Linked DNA regions of Mytilus edulis. The protein of the gene in region 1 interacts with the protein of each later gene in a pairwise test. Links are inferred from orthologs where the notes say so. Each region holds a gene or a part of one and is shown on either strand. Other genes may lie near its edges. The genes, in order: cytoplasmic FMR1-interacting protein 2-like and nck-associated protein 1-like.

Evidence for each region.
Region 2: the proteins of cytoplasmic FMR1-interacting protein 2-like (region 1) and nck-associated protein 1-like interact in binary tests that used the Caenorhabditis elegans proteins (3 or more experiments, as listed by UniProt). The link is inferred for Mytilus edulis from reciprocal best matches to the Caenorhabditis elegans genes gex-2 and gex-3.

What each region holds. Positions count from the first base shown.
Region 1 is NC_092351.1:9,971,615-9,980,578, reverse strand, and holds the start of cytoplasmic FMR1-interacting protein 2-like, read left to right. Parts: upstream 1-3,803; 5' UTR 3,804-3,987; intron 3,988-7,105; 5' UTR 7,106-7,114; coding exon 7,115-7,324; intron 7,325-7,856; coding exon 7,857-7,934; intron 7,935-8,687; coding exon 8,688-8,789; intron 8,790-8,964. UniProt on the Caenorhabditis elegans protein: Required for initial steps of body morphogenesis. May play a role in egg laying and yolk protein clatherin-mediated endocytosis by oocytes during oogenesis.
Region 2 is NC_092350.1:74,781,134-74,790,097, forward strand, and holds the start of nck-associated protein 1-like, read right to left. Parts: upstream 4,787-8,964; 5' UTR 4,691-4,786; coding exon 4,586-4,690; intron 1-4,585. UniProt on the Caenorhabditis elegans protein: Rac effector required for tissue morphogenesis, cell migrations and egg laying. May play a role in egg laying and in yolk protein clatherin-mediated endocytosis by oocytes during oogenesis.

The DNA.
Region 1 (8,964 bases):
CGAGTGTATTAAATTATGGAGATATGTACAGGACCATCTTTATTAACAATTTTGAAAACTTCAATAGCCTAAGATCGCATTCTTCTTATTTTTAAAGATGGTAATTTTGATTTGCAGAGTAGATCTTCATAACTTGCTGAATAGTCTTCAAAGATAAAACTTATTGCTCTCTCTTGAATTTTCTCTATCAATTTGTATTAACCTCCCCACAAACTGACAAACTAGTGGGCAGTAATTAAAATTGGACATTATGAAAGAATAATAAATTGGTAATTTTCCGAGTTTAGTCACTGAGGTGTTTATCTATTCTTTTTAATACATTTAATTGTTTCTTTGGATGCTTTTTTACATATTATAGAGACATAAAATTGAGAATGGAAATGGGGAATGTGTCAAAGAGACAACAACCCGACCAAAATAAAAAAACACAACAGCAGAAGGTCACCAACAGGTCTTCAATGTAGCGAGAAATTCCCGCACCCGGAGGCGTCCTTCAGCTGGCCCCTAAACAAATATATACTAGTTCAGTGATAATGAACGCCATACTTATTTCCAAATTGTACACAAGAAACTAAAATTTAAATAATACAAGACTAACAAAGGCCAGAGGCTCCTGACTTGGGACAGGCGCAAAAAATGCGGCGGGGTTAAACATGTTTGTGAGATCTCAACCCTCCCCCTATACCTCTAACCAGTGTAGAAAAGTAAAAGCATAACAATACGCACATTAAAATTCAGTTCAAGAGAAGTCCGAGTCTGATGTCAGAAGATGTAACCAAAGAAAATAAACAAAATGACAATAATACATAAATAACAACAGACTAGTAAACCTTTTCAACATCTCTCGACATCGACTAATGACACCTACAGTTTACAGGTAAAATGGATGGGTCGTCTCAAAGACAAAAATCATCATGATTATCATCACGTAACATATTGGATTGGCGGTTTTATACTGTTTTGACTATTATAGTTTAAGAATATATATCAACCAAATAAATAAATAAATAAATATATGTATGGTGGCCGGATGCGGCCATTTATTTCGCCTTTTCGCGTTTTCGTGAATTCTCCGTTCATTTTGCAAACGCGAAATTGGGAATTCGAGAAATCGAGAAATTGAGAAAATCGGGAAATCGGAAAATCGAGAAATAGGGAATCCAGAAATTGGAAATATATAAGATCGGGAAATCGAAAAATCGAGAAATCAAGAAGGCAAAAACGCCAAAACACGAAAGAGGAAACACGAAAACGCTAAAACGCGAAATGAATTCTCAATTTTGCGTTTTTGCTTTCTCTATTTCTCGATTTCCCGATTACTCAATTTCTTGATTTCCCTTTCTCGATTTCTGGATTTTCCCGAAAGGGGAAACGTCTACCACACATATGTCTCTGTCATATAATATTCTTATTTCGTATGTATTTGCACGACATTTCATGTTGAATTGATTAAACAAATATTCCAATCATTCAGAATCCTAACCCATTTTCTCTTCACTTTTGTGATGATGTGAGTCTTTCGCCAAATATTTGCCGCATGCCAATAACGATTTAATTTGTTGGTGTAAAAGCTTTCATGATGTTTTTCAAAAATGAAAAAGAATACTGGTCCGTCCGTATCACACTTGTGAACACGCTCAACTTTGTGTTTTTCCACCGATCTTCACCTCAGTCGATGTACATTTTCAATTTTTACATAATTACATATTGATTTTTTAGGTCAAAGGAAAAGATCACGTTTTTTTTTATTATTATTATTATCAACGACGGTCTTCTCCGCTTCAAGATATCTTGTTCGAGGTAAAGTTTTTCCTAGATGAATTTTGAAAAAAAATATAAAAGACCCCTCGTTTCAATGCTACAACATTTAAGCAGTGACTGGTGAATACAGAATTCAAGTGGAACACCAAATTGGTGAATTGAAATGATACAAAGTATTGAGTACATTATTGAGGCATACAAGGCCAAAACTAACAGACATGTGCCGCCCTTGTAAACCAACATAATCATTGTTTAATTTTAAAATATCAACTACAATAGAACATGATTTGTTCTTTTCGTTTTCCAAATTCAACCAGGACAGCTAGAAGCTAAATGTCTAAAAGATGAAATGTGACTTAAAGTCTATCATTTTCTTTATAACAAATTAAAACAAAATCATGTCATTTGGACTCTGTATGAAAGTTTTATCATTGTCAATGATTGAAAGCAATAAAATTAATAATGATCTCATTTATTTTTTTATTTTTGAGACTACCCTTCACATTTTACCTGTCGTAGTCGTTCTCAACTGTAGGTGTCGAGAGATGTTAAAAAGGTCTACTAGCAGTTAACTGACATGCCAGCTCCAGACTTCAATTAAACTGACTGAAAGATTATGATGTTCATTGAAATTTAGTTTAAAACCTATTATTACACCTAGAAGTTTAACGTTATCTTCACATTCTATTTCATTACCTTCTAATTCAAATTTAGGTTTTTGTCTTTAGTTTTTTTACCTACAGGTATTGCTTGACATTTTTCTGGATTAGCTTTCATTTTATTTTATTGTATATTGAGAACCAATTTATCAAAATTTTTGCTTTCCACATCTTCTGAAGTATTAGCAAGGAATTGTATATTTAAATATACAATTCCTTGGTATTAGTTAATTTATCTAAATCTTTATCTGCATATGAAAGGGGGTTGTCATCTGCATGATTATAGAGTTCACTTTTATGAATAAAATAAAGAAATGTCATTTAAAATTTGAAAAATAATGTAGGCCTTAATATCGAACCTTGTGGCACCTTTTAAACATTGTTTGTCAGTAGCTTAAATTAGTACCTCCTTTAACACACTGTTTTCTGTTAGTTAAATAGCTTTCCAAAAGTTTAAGAGAGTAGGTGGAAACACCATAGGATTTAATATTAGTAGGAGGAGGTCATGGTGTAGGCAGTCAAAAGCCTTGGACAAGTCTATAAATAGACGTATTTACACTTGTATGCAAATTTGTCCGCCATTGCGTAAAATCACACAGGTTCCCGTAAACTTTGACATCATAATTTAAAATTATTTGACGTCACAATTTAAAAGTGATTGTTGCTCAACGTCAAAAGGTGATTCGGAGTAGATTTAAGGTCATTCGCGGAGGCAAGATTCAGCTAAATACCAAAAGTGTAAAAACGTTTATTTATATAGCTGAGAGTCAGCACTACATATTTATTCTGATCTTAAACCTTTTCCAATATTCAATTTAAGGTCTTTAGTTTCCTTTATCAAGAGTGTATTTTTTATGTAGAGTCGGTATTTCTTGTTCTTCTTTTAATTTATCTGGTAAAACAGCCGATTCAAATGATTTATTCAGTAGTTTAGAAATTGGATTGGATAATTCAAATAAGATAATTTTAGTACTTTTGAAGAGATAGATACCATCTTTTCCTGTTGCCTTAAATTTTTGTTACTTTTTTTTCAACAAAACTCAGAAATTTACTGTATGCACACCAGTGGCGGATCCAGGGGGGGGGGTTCCGGGGGTGCGCACCCCCCCTTTATTTTTGCCGATCAATGCATTTGTATCGGGACATATGTTTTGCACCCCCCCCTTTGCCCTGGGTGCCCTGGGTTAACACCCCCCCTTTCGAAAATTCCTGCATCCGCCCCTGCACACATGGAAAACTATTTGTTTCTAAATTAGAATGAGTAAAGAAATAATTGAAGTATTAAGTTATGATCAAATTATTAATGTTATTTTTACAGCGCCATGTCATTTGCATGAGTACAAATACGGTAATCGTTGCACTTCCGAATATGGTAGGGAAATTAGTTTTTCAATGGGAAATAAACTGACTACCTATTGTTCAAATCTCAAAGAAGATCAGTCAATAGCCGCAGGTAACCAGTCAGTTGCTTTTGTTCGCAGCGCCCCCTATGGTCAAGTAAATCCGGAAGTTATCAAAAATGATAAAAAATGAAAACTGACATTTCCTTATTATGTGAAGTTTAAAGGTAATTAATCGGATGAACGACATAAGCAAAACAGGGACATGTAAAACATTATTTATATAGATTGTGCACTTGCAGTCAAGTCGACATTTTGCATTCAAAAAGTAGTATCAAATATCAATCCTGTCGAACTCTAGCTCTTCCTCTTTTATAGTTTATAGGAGGAAGAGCGAGATTTTTCTTTGAGGAACAATATAATTTCGGGTAGGCTCACATGTATCTGTCACTGAACGTAACCGTTAGTAGGTTAATGCAAGGTAGGAACCAGATCTATGAGATCCAGATTAATTCTCAGATAGAATTGTTATAATTTCTCAAGGGCAACAAGGTAGATAATTTAGTGAAAGCTTAGCTAATTGAGTTACCCCCTTTAAATAAAGTCATTACTTACTTACTTCCTTACTTATTGTTGATGTTCTATTTTGGACAGGTCAGGAATAACCATCAATTGGTGGATTATACCTCAATTGACATATAATCCACCAATTGACATTAATGGTATAGACCAATACACCTTATCGCTAATCCTTGCCGACCCAGCCGCAGCTTTTAGACGCATACAACAATCACTTTTCCATTGTGGCGTCAGATATTTTGTATTGTGACGTCAAAATTTTACGGGAACCTGTGTGATATCTAGTAATGGCGGACAAATAGCGATAAGGTGTATTGGTGTATAATTCTTTGTTCTTCAAAACAAATTATTCTACCCAAATGAAGCATTGTTTTCTTGAAATCATATTATGGTATGAAAACTTGTCAAACATTCCTAGTTTAGTATATATAGTGACATAACATATTGCATTTAATCAATAATTGTATTTTCAGTTTCTTCTATTGTTACATGTACAAATGTATCTTGTCAATTCTTGATTGGCATATTTACCTGTAAAGTGTAATCACCTGTCAATACACCTTATCGCTATCTCCGGCTGACCCAGCCGCTTGAACTTTTGACGCACACAACAATCACTTTTCCATTGTCATGATTGTGGTGTCATATATTTTGTATTGTCATGTCAACATTTTACGGGAACCTGTGTGATATCCAGTAATGGCGGACAAATAGCGATAAGGTGTATGGACATCATTTACTGTCTGCAGTCATCATGGTCATGTGATCATGAGTACAACTCCTCAGGTGAATGGAGCTCTTTGTTCAGTCAGTTAAATCACTTATTTGAGTAGCAAATTCAAAGTTTTGTCACAAATTGTGATTTTGTAGTTTTACCAAAATTTTAAACCCATTATGTTTAAAAAATATCTTTTCATTAGTAAAATTGAAAAAAGTGAATTTTTGCTTCTTTTAAGTATCAAGGTTTATGCCTTTGATGCTATCATTTAGCTGCAAATTCTATTTTAGTTGAAAAAATGCTATAATAATGGCTTTACATAATGAACTGATACTTTCTTAACAGATTTTTCCCAGCAGTGGGAGTATTTTTCCTGTAAAGTTCAAGGTTTCATCTTTCAGATTATGTCATAAAATTTTACTGTTCACCATAAAAATTTCACTGTTCGGGGTGTTGAAATTAGTGGGGGTTATTAAAATAATGATTCTTAAAGGAGTGATTTTTGGGAAGGAAATTGAGGTATGATACTTAAACAAGTGAGTTTTATGTCATTATCCTCGATTCAGTACAAGGTCATCACCTGAAATGACCTAGTCATCCTAGACAACATGGATGTTAGTTCTGATAAGTTTAGAAACATAATTAGTCCCTGGACCATTAGTATTCTATATTTAAAGCTACAGTAAAATTAAATCACTTCTTCTAGTGATTATTTTGTACTACTTAAATAGGTGATTATTAAAGAAAGACAACTCTTACTTTCAACCTTTATGGAAATAATGTTACTTGAATCAGTGATTTAGAAAATCACTCATTTAAGTAAGTCCCCTGACTTGTTAATACTTGAATTCAATTATCAAAAGTCAATCATGGTCAATACATGTAGTACAAATGTTTCAACAAAAGAATTGTTGTACACATGCATTCTCAAGAGATGCAGAAGGCTTTGACAAAACTTAATTTGAAGGACTCAATAAGGGTCATAAAATAGGTTGCAAGTTGCAAAATCATGCTCCTATCTCACACTAGTATTTTATTACAAAAAATTTGCATTATACGTCAATTGGTCCTTACCAATTATAATATACCTTAATTGGTGGATTATACGTCAATTGAGGTATAATCCACCAATTGGTGGTTATTCCTGACCTGTTGGACGCCCCTATTTTTGGGTCTCATGAATTAGCGACAAGGTTGCATTACAATATAAAGTATATCATGTTGGCACCCTAAAAAAAGCAGGACAGACTGGTGATCCCAAACTGTATATACCCTTTTGCTTCTATGAAACTACAATGACACAAATGTATAAATTTTATTAAAATTCATATTTTTGAATCTCAATACCTCAGGTCAATGTACATTAATTTTATATCAAATGGACTATAAAATTTACTTGATTTAACCAAGTATTCAAATCAACCAAGTTCTACCCATCAGTGGTAAAAATGCATTGATCATACAGAATTTTACTAAGACTTTTAAATTAGTTCTACTCATTAGAGATTTTAGCACAAGCGAGTTCAACACAACAGGATGCATCTGTAATTCACAGTCAATTGGGCAAATACAATGTACTCAAATATCATGAATACAAAACTGTACTTAAGATCAGTTATTACATTTCAAAGATAATGAGTATTATTTCAATGCTACATTAACATGTTTGTTTCTTTTGTTCATAGTCATACTACCAGCAGGAGATATTTGATAAGAGGAAAACACACAAACTGATGACATTTATTGATATTCCTTCGATGTACATACATGTACAAAATGCATATCATGTATATGCTGAACTTGTAATGTTGCTAGTCAATTCGAAATTTTGACTTTTTCCTTGGTGTTAATTCAACATTTTCAACAAAATGATTTTCTAATCCTTAAATATTGTCAAATGTACTAAGTTACCATTAATTCATACTACTACTAGTACTGTAACTCCTACTTGAATTCTTCAAAACTCATTGCCTCACCTATCTCTGTTAATATATGATTATATGACGCTATCATCCCACACATTTAGAAATTAATTTTCTTCTTTTTAGCTTTGAAAAATGTCTGGAGACAAGATATCCCTGACCGACGCCCTACAGAATGTAGATGTACTGGATGAATTGCCTTTACCTGATCAACAACCTTGTATAGAAGGCCTGTCATTGTCCATCCATTACCAAGCTAACTTTGACACTAATTTTGAGGATAGAAATGCCTATGTCACTGGGGTTGCCAAGTATATAGAAGAGGCCACAGTTCATGCAGATTTGGTATGTACAATATATACATATGAAATTGAGAATGGAAATGGGGAATTTGTCAACGAAACAACAACCCGACCAAAGAGCAGACAACAGCAGAAGGCACCCAATGGGTCTCCAATGCAGCGAGAGACTCATGAACCAGAGACGTGCTTCAGCTGGCCCCTAAACAAAAATGTATACTAGTTCAGTGATAATGGACGTCATACTGAACTCTGAAATATACACAAGAAACTAAAATTTAAAATCATAATACAAGACTAACAAAGGCCAAAGGCTCCTGACTTGGGACAGGATCATATTTGAAGTGCAATAATGTGAACACTTTCAATCAGCACCAATAATGTTGATATAAATATTCTTTGAAAAAAGGCAAGCTCATCATTTATGAGGTTTGCCTAATCTATAATTCTCAGCGCTGTGAACTACTACCACCAAGACTGAAAATTATCTGAATTGTACTATAGATCAGCCTGATAAAGGTAACCAGAGTTGTTTTGAATTTTTGCCACTGTATAAACTTGATCATATATTTTTACAGAACAAGCTATTAGAGAAAGGGCAAGAGTTTGCTGCAATATTATACACATGGAGATGCTGTTCTAGAGCCTTACCACAGGTAAATAGAATAAATGATAACACATATACTGAACTTTAAGATTCAAGTATACATGTATATTAACAAATCAATTCCCATAGGGTAATGGAGGAGGGGCATTACATTTACTGGTCTGTCAATTCATTAGTAGTAAATTAGTCTGTCAGTCCCATTTTGGTTGACATAGATTGAAGCAACTGTAAGTCACTGTACAGCCTTCATGAATGAGAAAAACGTTGTCTTATACTATAGTAAGCTTTTTAAGTCCAGCATCACAAAATGTAAAATGATTCACTGAGAAAATAAACATGTTTATATCATCAAAACCTGATTTTATTCCAAAATCAGATCAGGGTCTCATTTCTAAAAAAAAAAGTATGGAAAACCATTGAGATCCATTCATCAATTTTTTTTTAATTTCCTTACAACAAATTTGACTAATAAACAAAAATCAGACCATTGTTTTTAACCTTGTTGGTCAGAAGCATGGAATAACCTTGCACTCTGATGCAAATTGAAGGGCATTAACTCTGAGGAATGATATGATCATATTTCAAACATGTATATAAATAAATATAAAAAGAGGGCCTGATTTAAGCAGTACCCTTAAAAGTTTTACTAGTTAGTGACCAATAAAACTACAGTATAAATTCTAATAGTTAAACAAGGAGATGTACATTGGCAATGTGATGACTATACACCAAACGCTGAGGATGTAAGCCATTATTATTGTTTAACTATAAATGAAGCTGTAAAAAAATACTTGTATTTCAGGTGAAAAGTAATGAACAACCTAACAGATCAGAGATTTACAATAAGATTGTGGAAGTCCTGGATCCACAAGTGTCAAAACTTATGGAATTTATGTATTTTGTGGTAATTATAAGAGCTGAAATAAGAAGTTTAAAGCATTGTCATAAGTTATTTTTTATAAGTATACTTGCAAACATAATATTTACATGTTATAATTTGGGAGGGGGGCTGCAAATGTTTTTTTAGATTTAAATAAAATATAACCTTACACATGATTTTCGTGTTGCCAATTAAAACA
Region 2 (8,964 bases), on another chromosome or scaffold:
AAAATATTCAAATATATAATGTAAATGATTCAAAAGATCTTTTTATTCCAGTACATGCTTTAAATCTTAAAATTCTGCAAGGGTCTCTCTATATATGTTCATGATGTTGATCTCCTTTCCCCATTAACTTATTTAGTGCATCATGGTATACCCTTTGTTGGAATTCCAAATTCATAGTACATACACAATGTGTGCATAATACATGTAATATACACAATGTGTACATAGTACATACACAATGTGTGCATAAAAGTGACAAAAAAGTTCAAATTAAAATGTGCAAATATTTCTCAAAACTAATAAAAACTTGTACTGCTAAGTTCAATTTATTTGATGGAAAACATACTGTATAAAATATGGAAATATCACAATTCAATAATAAATATTATTCTATAATCATGATAACTAAAATTTAGTTTATTTTAATTTTTCATAAAAAAAAATTAATACTTTACTTCGATTGGAAAACAGTTTAAAAAGTAAGATACTGAACAAATTAATTAGGATAACACATTGCATTAACCATTCCCACAAGAAATTGCACTTGGTCTTGCACTGTCTAAGTCTAGTATCTGGTAGTTGACATCCTTAATTTATATATACCAGTTTATCGCTATTTTGTGCATTTTTCTTTTGATCTTTTTTTTGTGATAATTTTCATATCATGCTTCTCGCTTGAGATGGAAAAATTATCGCTAAAAACTAAGGAGACCACGTGGCGTTGCTTACGAAATTGACATGAAATTGACAACGTCGTCATAGGTAAAATAGCGATAAACAGATTATCATTGGTCATCTCAACTCGATTGCTTTTCTCACTTTCGCTGTACCAGCTCAAGCGAGAAAATCAATCTCGTTGAGATGATCAACGATAATCTATAAATATCAAATGCTGTTTTACTGTTTTGGCTGTTCTATCAGGGTGTCTTAAGGTCATTGAAACAGCCAGGTTAGGAAAATACCCTTTAGACCAAATTTAGAATAAATGGCTAACATGGCTAAGGTAAGTGAAAATTTACACACTTTCAGTATAGCTAGAGGATTAATGGCATAAAGGACCTTGATTCGAAAAAATTAAAAAGTCAAACAAAGAATACCCCCACCCTCCATAAAAAAGAGAAGGATAATGCTTTGTTTTGTTTATTTTAAGTACATACTCTTTTTTATCTTCGTAAAGGTCTAAATCATGTCTTTTATACATTGTATGTCTTTCAAGTTTTGCAGGGACTAAAAAAATAACACTAATGTACAAAAAGAAAAAACAATGACAGACAAAAATCACTTAATCTAATGCTACAAATAGATTAAAAAAAAAGTATAGCAAACAGACATGCTGACAACAACGCCATCTACTTACAGACATCTGTTAGGTCATGTGATGAAAAACAAACTGTTAGTATATCAGCAAACCATTTGTATGCAGAACTTGATTAACAGACAAAAGAGGAAAGGTCCTGAGCATCTGGGTTAGTCTCTCTTTGCTTAGGGCCAAACAAAAAAGTATTTGTGTTTACACTGTACTGTCACATGCTGATAAAACAGGGTAGGTACACGAAGGTACATATTTTGTAGGGATTTTCTTTCTTTCTTTTTTTCTTTCACATTGAGTCTAGCTATGGGAGCAATATTGTGATTCTAACAGTGCTAAATAAAAATTGGCCAAAAAAAACTTTAGGGTAGGGGATAAAATTTAGGGTACAATGTAGGTACATGTAGGGGTACAGTAAACACACATACTTTTTTTTTTGCCTAGTCAGTTCATACAAGGTGATTTGATCAAATATCACTTTTTCTTCTAATAATACATACTGTACATGAAGATTCATTGAAAATGATTTAGACCAGGAAGATAAACAAACATATAATGAAGGTTACTTTTTTTTTAAATCAGAGAGAAATGATTTCCTGCATTGTCAGTATTTTCCCTCGACATCCTCGTAAACAGGGAAATTTGCAATACTATCTTGTTTCCAAAATTAAAGCATTACGGCCCGGTACATCCATAACATAATCTATAAGAAAACCAATTCAGATGGTATTTCATTCATGAAATATAGCATCACATTACCATGATGTTAAAAAGCCCTGGGATAAACACTGATTGTAAAATCCAAACAACAACAAAAAAAATTCACTATACAGCCAATGCCGCCAACATGTTTTCCATAAAATTGTGCTCAATACCAACTGTCAATATAACTGTTAAAGCTATCCCGTCAGATATATAGTTAAAAAATTTATGAATGTATGCAGATTATTTTCACTGTGCATTTTTCTTGAAAGTTCTCTTTAGATTATAAAAATTGACAACAAAATTGCATGTTATAAACCAGCCAGTTGCAACCATGATGTTCTAGCATGTCCAGGGCATTTCCCTATCATTCAAAATTAAGTATGAAATTGAATGCACTATCTTCATAACTGAATATAAAACATGATAAAATAAGGGAATAAAACATACAAAAGAAGCTGGCACTTCATACAAATGGACGAAAGCCTTGCCTTTCAAAACACCATGCATTCGTAAAAACAAATCTTTCAACACAAACAACTATTGCTTACATCCTTATATTTACTGAATGCCTAGAACCAAAACAAAATGTCAAATAAGTTTAATCAAACGAACTACATGTAAATTCAGCATGCAAGCAACAGTGATTTGAAAAGCTCTTTTTCAATAGCTGAAAATTATAAACAAAAGCATTGAAAAAATATCATGAAAATCCTGAACTATTTATTGACTAACATTTTATGAAGAATTTGGAAAAACCTTCTGAATATGATTTATTCATTTTCACCATTTGTGAGTTTAGTTTTGTTTGATCACTATCTTGCCATGTAAAAATTATTTTCTCTTTAATTCACATTCATTTTTCTGCATCTTCAATGATGTTGATAGGTTCACTACTCATTTTCATTCTTTTTCTGCAGGGGAGGTTGTTTATTTTCAGTTCGAACTATGCCAGAATACCATTTATAAAAACCCTCCTCATCCACCCCACCCATAAAAAATGTATCCCCTAAATACACAAATCTGTATACATTGTTTCAAATCTCACAATGTTTGAATAAATTGTCATGTATATCATGTATATTGTCCATGATACCAAAAATATGAAAGTTCTGAAAAGCAGGGTTTTTTTTCTAAACTAAATTAATTGTATTTTAATCTAAGCAATAATTATTTACACATATTCATTCATTTTTAATCTAAAAGCAGTTAGTTATTGATACTTCCTAAAATGTAGTTTACTACTTTACTATCTAACAAAACAAGTGCCTACATGGCATAGGGTAAAGTGAAACATGATACATTGTAAAACACTTGTTTTCTTAAGCATGTTTTAAAGTGTAATTACGTTTTAAAGTGTAATTACACTTTTTCATCATTTACAAACATTTATTATTGCCTTTATGTTATTTAATTCTCTACATTTACATGTGTATGAAGTCATCAATAACTGCATGCAGGTAAAATGTATGATGGAAAATAAAATGTTTATTTGATTTAAAAATTATGAATAATAATATGGGTGAGTCATGAATTTTTTATGACATTAGCTATGTATATATATATATAGCACTGTGCAAGAAAATTTACAACAAATTCAAAAGTTGTTTATAGGTCTCAGTCTTATGTTCATTGTCCATGTTGTCTAGTTAAATGTTTTAAGGTTATTTATATCTGTTACCATAGACATATACCCCCCCCCAAAAAAAAAGTGCAAGAAATTTCTTGTAAATTTGAAGTTCATACTTTTAAGCTGAGAAAATTCATTAAGTTTTGTTTGTTTGTTTCTCATAGACTTAGTCTTAGTTGTACTGAAAAGTAATCTGCTTATTTGTGGCAAATTCGTCAGTGGGTCTCATTTGAGCTTAGGTTTGACCTGGGATTGCTATTAATAGACCACTTTAATTTCCAGTTTGTCCGTCACTGTTTAAAACTTACCAATTATGCATGGCTTTATGACCAGATAGATGGGGTTGCCTGTATCCTTGCACTATAACTTACATCCAGGGTCTTAGTGATTGTCATTGTGCAGGATAAACTCGAAATAATGGTTGTTCTGTAGGGACTTATTTAGGATTCCCTAATGACAGTAGTGCTGATTATCAATTATGAGAATTCAATTTGCCTTTTAATTCGTACAATATAGCATTATAGTTTTCCAACCAGTAGCTCAACAATGGAAAAGAAGTGACGACACCCCTAAATGCACAAATGGCGTTCACTAAAACCAGTTTTTGACGGAAATGCATTGAACATGTTGAACTCGAAAGTTGTCTATTAGAATCGTGACTTGTACATGTCAAATTTGTGTGCATGAAAAAGGGAAAAAAAATCATCCTTGATCTGACCCCATGTGGGACAATTATCTATTTAGTAATGGTATGATGATAACATTTATAATTTACATGGCAGTGTACTCTAAATCCAAAGTTAAAAATACATCAAAGACACAGGGTCTTCAGCTATTTTACACACTGACTAAATTTAAAATCTTGTTTCTTCTTTACCAAATTTACACAATTTTAGAAAAAGGATCTATGCAGACTATGGCATTTTTGACTGTCAAAAACAAACCTTTTTGATATTGTAAATGCGTGTTAGCATTCCACGACCTCGCTCGTTCATGATAGTTAGTTTTTCTGCCAGCTTCTGCTGGCTTGGCATCATTCCTCGAGACATGTTTTCTGTGTTTTATGAGGGTAATTTCGCTAATAAGAGATGTTTAGATATTCTTCAACCATTGTATACTTCCTTAAAAGACACTTCCGGTTATAACAAACAAGAGGCTCATGTGGTTAGTGAGATTATCTCCCCTGGTTAAACAACTGGCATTTAAATTCTGATAATAATATCAACATGAAAGTGAAAATCACCCGTGTACAATCACAACAACAATATATAATGATCATGATATTGTGAAAGTAATTTTAAAACAACAAGTGAATCAGATAAAGTCTTAACTCTCATATCTTAATGTTTTCTTTGTTTTTTTTCTTTTAGTCAATTTTTTTTTTATTCATTTTAATATCCTATTTTTTTATTATGTAAATTGAATAGGATTTATTTTTATTTTTTTACAGTGTAATCCATTGTATTCTTAAATATTACAAATATCTGAAAATATGGCACAAAATAATTATTTTAAACTCAATATATAATTTAAAAATAATTTTTTATCATACTGAGAAGAGTAGGATATCATATCTAAATGAAATGAAAGATATGTTTTAGATTTTAAGCATTGACTAATATTTTGTTATTTTAACAAGTTTTTTAAATTCATGTAATATATAAGCCCAAGCTGCTGCTTCTTCTTTTCTTTTTTTAACATCATAAACTCCCATTTACTGAAGCATTTATTATTTATGTAATTTTATTGTCACTGACATGAATAAGATACACACATCATCGTCACATGTAAATAAGATAAGCTTATGATAATAAACAAGTTAAAAAGCAATATATGTATATACAACTCTAAAAGTCACAACAACAAAAAACCAAAAACCATATACATAGTGTGCTGTACATAGTTATAAAAAAAAAAAATATCCACAAAATTACCGTCATATATACTCTAATATTATTAGAGGTGTTTCTATCTATAGGAAGCTTATACAAAGAAGAAGAAGTTAAAAAAGATAAGAAAGTATTCATTCTGACGGGCGATAATTCAGATTAAAGATTATATGAGACAATATCTGAAAAAGTCTAATTTTTGGCAATATCTTTATTAGATCCGAAATCGAAGAACACACATCAGTGTGGATCTAGGAACTGTTGTCTGTAATTCAAACGATTGTTAAATGTGGTAACAATTAATAAAAATGGTATAAAAAAATCCAGTTCTTACCTGTTACCAAAGTGATTCAATTTTGAAAAGTTTCTAATGGAAATAAGGAATAGGTTAAAGACACTATTTGTGGTTTACTGGTATATCCTGCAATAGTTTATCAAATGCCAATTATTGATTTTAGCATTTGCAATACAAAAGGTTTAGAAATATCCTAAAATATAGTCAGATATGTCGGTAACATGAAAGTATCTTGAGTAACAGGACAACGGTAACAGGACAGAGTTGGTAACAGAAAGGATTTTTTTCTCTCAAAAAAATGCTTTTTCTTTTTATAGTTTAAGAAAAATACATCATTTCAGATTGGTCACAATTGGAAGATAACAGCAAACAATGTCATTTATCCTTTGAAACTGTATTTGCAAGATGAAAAATCTGCCTAGGTAATGAAAAAATAAATTCCTTTCTGTTACTATTTACTATACTAAAATTGCACAACGTTCTGCTAAATACCTATTTTTTCATTCAATATACTGTATATTATTTTGAAATTTATTTAATATGGTGATGATAACTTATTAAATGACATAGATGGCATATAGTACATTAACTTTTTGATTCATCAGTGAAATTGTCTTGAACATCCTTCCTGTTACTGATTATGGTTATGCTGTTACTTCCAATCAGGTAACATGACAGAACGTAACAGAAAGAAATTACGCAGTACTTTTTGTTCATTTACTCGAATTGCGTATAAGTTTACTTCCATCTACATGTCAATTTGATAAGATACTATAAAAACACAGGTACTGGTAAAGTGCTGACAATGAAATATTCTCAGAAGGTACACAAAAAGGTTGTAACAGGAGAGAACAACAAAATTATTTTTCTCCAAATTCTGATCTTTGGGGAGTTCAGATTTTTTTTAAAAACACATGTACTGGTAAAGTGCTGACAATGAAGTATTCTCAGAAGGAACACAAAAAGGTTGTAACAGGAGAGAACAACAAAATTATTTTTCTCCAAATTCTGATCTTTGGGGAGTTCAGATTTTTTTTAAAACTGGTTGCTTTTCACCTAAACATATGGAGTCATACATTCAGGAAATGATGCTCCTCACATTGCATTACAAGAAATAAATTTTTGGTCTTTCAAACATGTCCACAGGTGGAAAAAACCAAGCGGTAACAGAAGGGAAATTACCCCTCGGGACAACATTTAAAACACCCTTAAAAATGTAAAATTTTCTTACATGCTTTAGTTATAACAAAACCAGACCAGTAAGGGAGAAGTTTTTTTATATAATCTATCAGATTTGTGAAAATCGGAAGGCTGTTTTCTTAATTTAGATATTCTTTGAATGATTTATTTTTCAGAAAATAACAGGGGACAACATGATTTTTTTTGGGGTGGGGGGGGGGGGGGGGGGGTGGGGTTGACCATTTAAATTTAGAAGAAATGTTTAATTGGTTGCAGTTGGTGCATTATATACTCTAGTTAATACTGTAACTTAAATTTTTCCAAAAAGATGCCTGAATAAATAAATAATTGCTCGTAAAGTGTGGGACATTGAAATAAGACTTTTTCAGATATTGTCTCATATAACAAATTCCTGTCAATGTTCATTATATTTATAGTATATTACCCGATATCAACATCTTTTTGAAAATGCCAGTATGGGCAAAACACTGAAAACTTGATCATACTGAAAACTTGATCATGTCACGGTAAAATATGCAATCAACTATTTTTCAAGGACTTTCGACGACGCCCCTCCTCTGAGTATTTGCTTTGTTTTATGATGGACATTTTTGATTTAATTTATGTACATAGTGACAAGTCTGTAATTTATGTTATCAGTGAATACATTTTCTTAATAAAAAAAAACAGCCTAGGAAGATCTTGAAGGCTGAGTCAAAGACCCAACTAACTGTATATATAGTGTCTTCAATCGTTGAGGACTTTCTTGAACTGGCAGTTTCTATAGCTAAACAACGGAAGTTTATATATATTGTAAATATATAGTTTTCATGTGTATTTCAAGTTCAAAGTTCTTACAGTTCTGAGGTGGTTTTTTTCAGACCCGTTAATCAGTCCTATTTTTTAAATCAACCTCTCAGTCAAATCATGGCGTAATATTTTGTAGTTTCAATTTATATATTTTGTCTTGTAGAGAGTTCTGGTAATGTGCAGTTACAAGAAGGAAAATTACACATCAAATGATGCAGAAAACAACAACACAACGTGACAGTAAACCCGAACCTGGCCCGGGCATTGAAAAGACATCACGGGAACATTGTGCAAACTACAATTTTGAATAGACACGTGTAATAAAACCGTCATACAGATTCTCTTTTTTAAATCACGTTGCTGGAATTTTCAATCCATGCACACACTAGAAAATAATAGTAAAACATATTGTTATATCAGTAATTTTTCATTTTGTAAAACATATTGTTATATGGGTCCTTATAAAAAAAAACCATGCAAAACTATGTTATTGCATGGGTCTTTTTAAGTCACAGACATGAAAACATATCAAAATAACACTTGCATATGTTAGATATGAATGTTTTGTGATACACAATATACAGTTTACAGTATGAAATGTTATAAAAACATCCCTAATGTTTTCTTAAACCCTTGGAGATAGCCAGAATTAACGGTTATTTTTTACTATAAATCCTTTCAGACTTGAAATAGGACTATTATTCATATGATTTGTTTTTTTATTTATCACTTTTTTTTGCATTTTGATACATACAAACATTTTTTTAATGATTTATGAGGTGTATGTTGGTTTTATAATAAAAAATTTCACCAAAAGGAAATGTTACATTTTTTAAGTCAATGGTGTAACCAAAGGACAAATTAGTAGGATACGAGTTATCTTTCGCAAGATTTGGGCATTTACAACAGTTTCTCCCTTAGCAATATTACCTGTAAGGATGTTTTGCAAAAAAAAAAAAAACAATTATGTTGAAAATTTACTGAAAAAATCTTAAAAGTAGGTAAAAGCTATATCATAATTGAAAATAGTGTCCATGGTGCACCCTTATACAAATCTTTTTTGAAAACATTTCCTGAACTTTGAATTATGAAATATATTGATCATAGAAACATGAACCAGGAACACTGAACATATAGAATAGGGGAATGG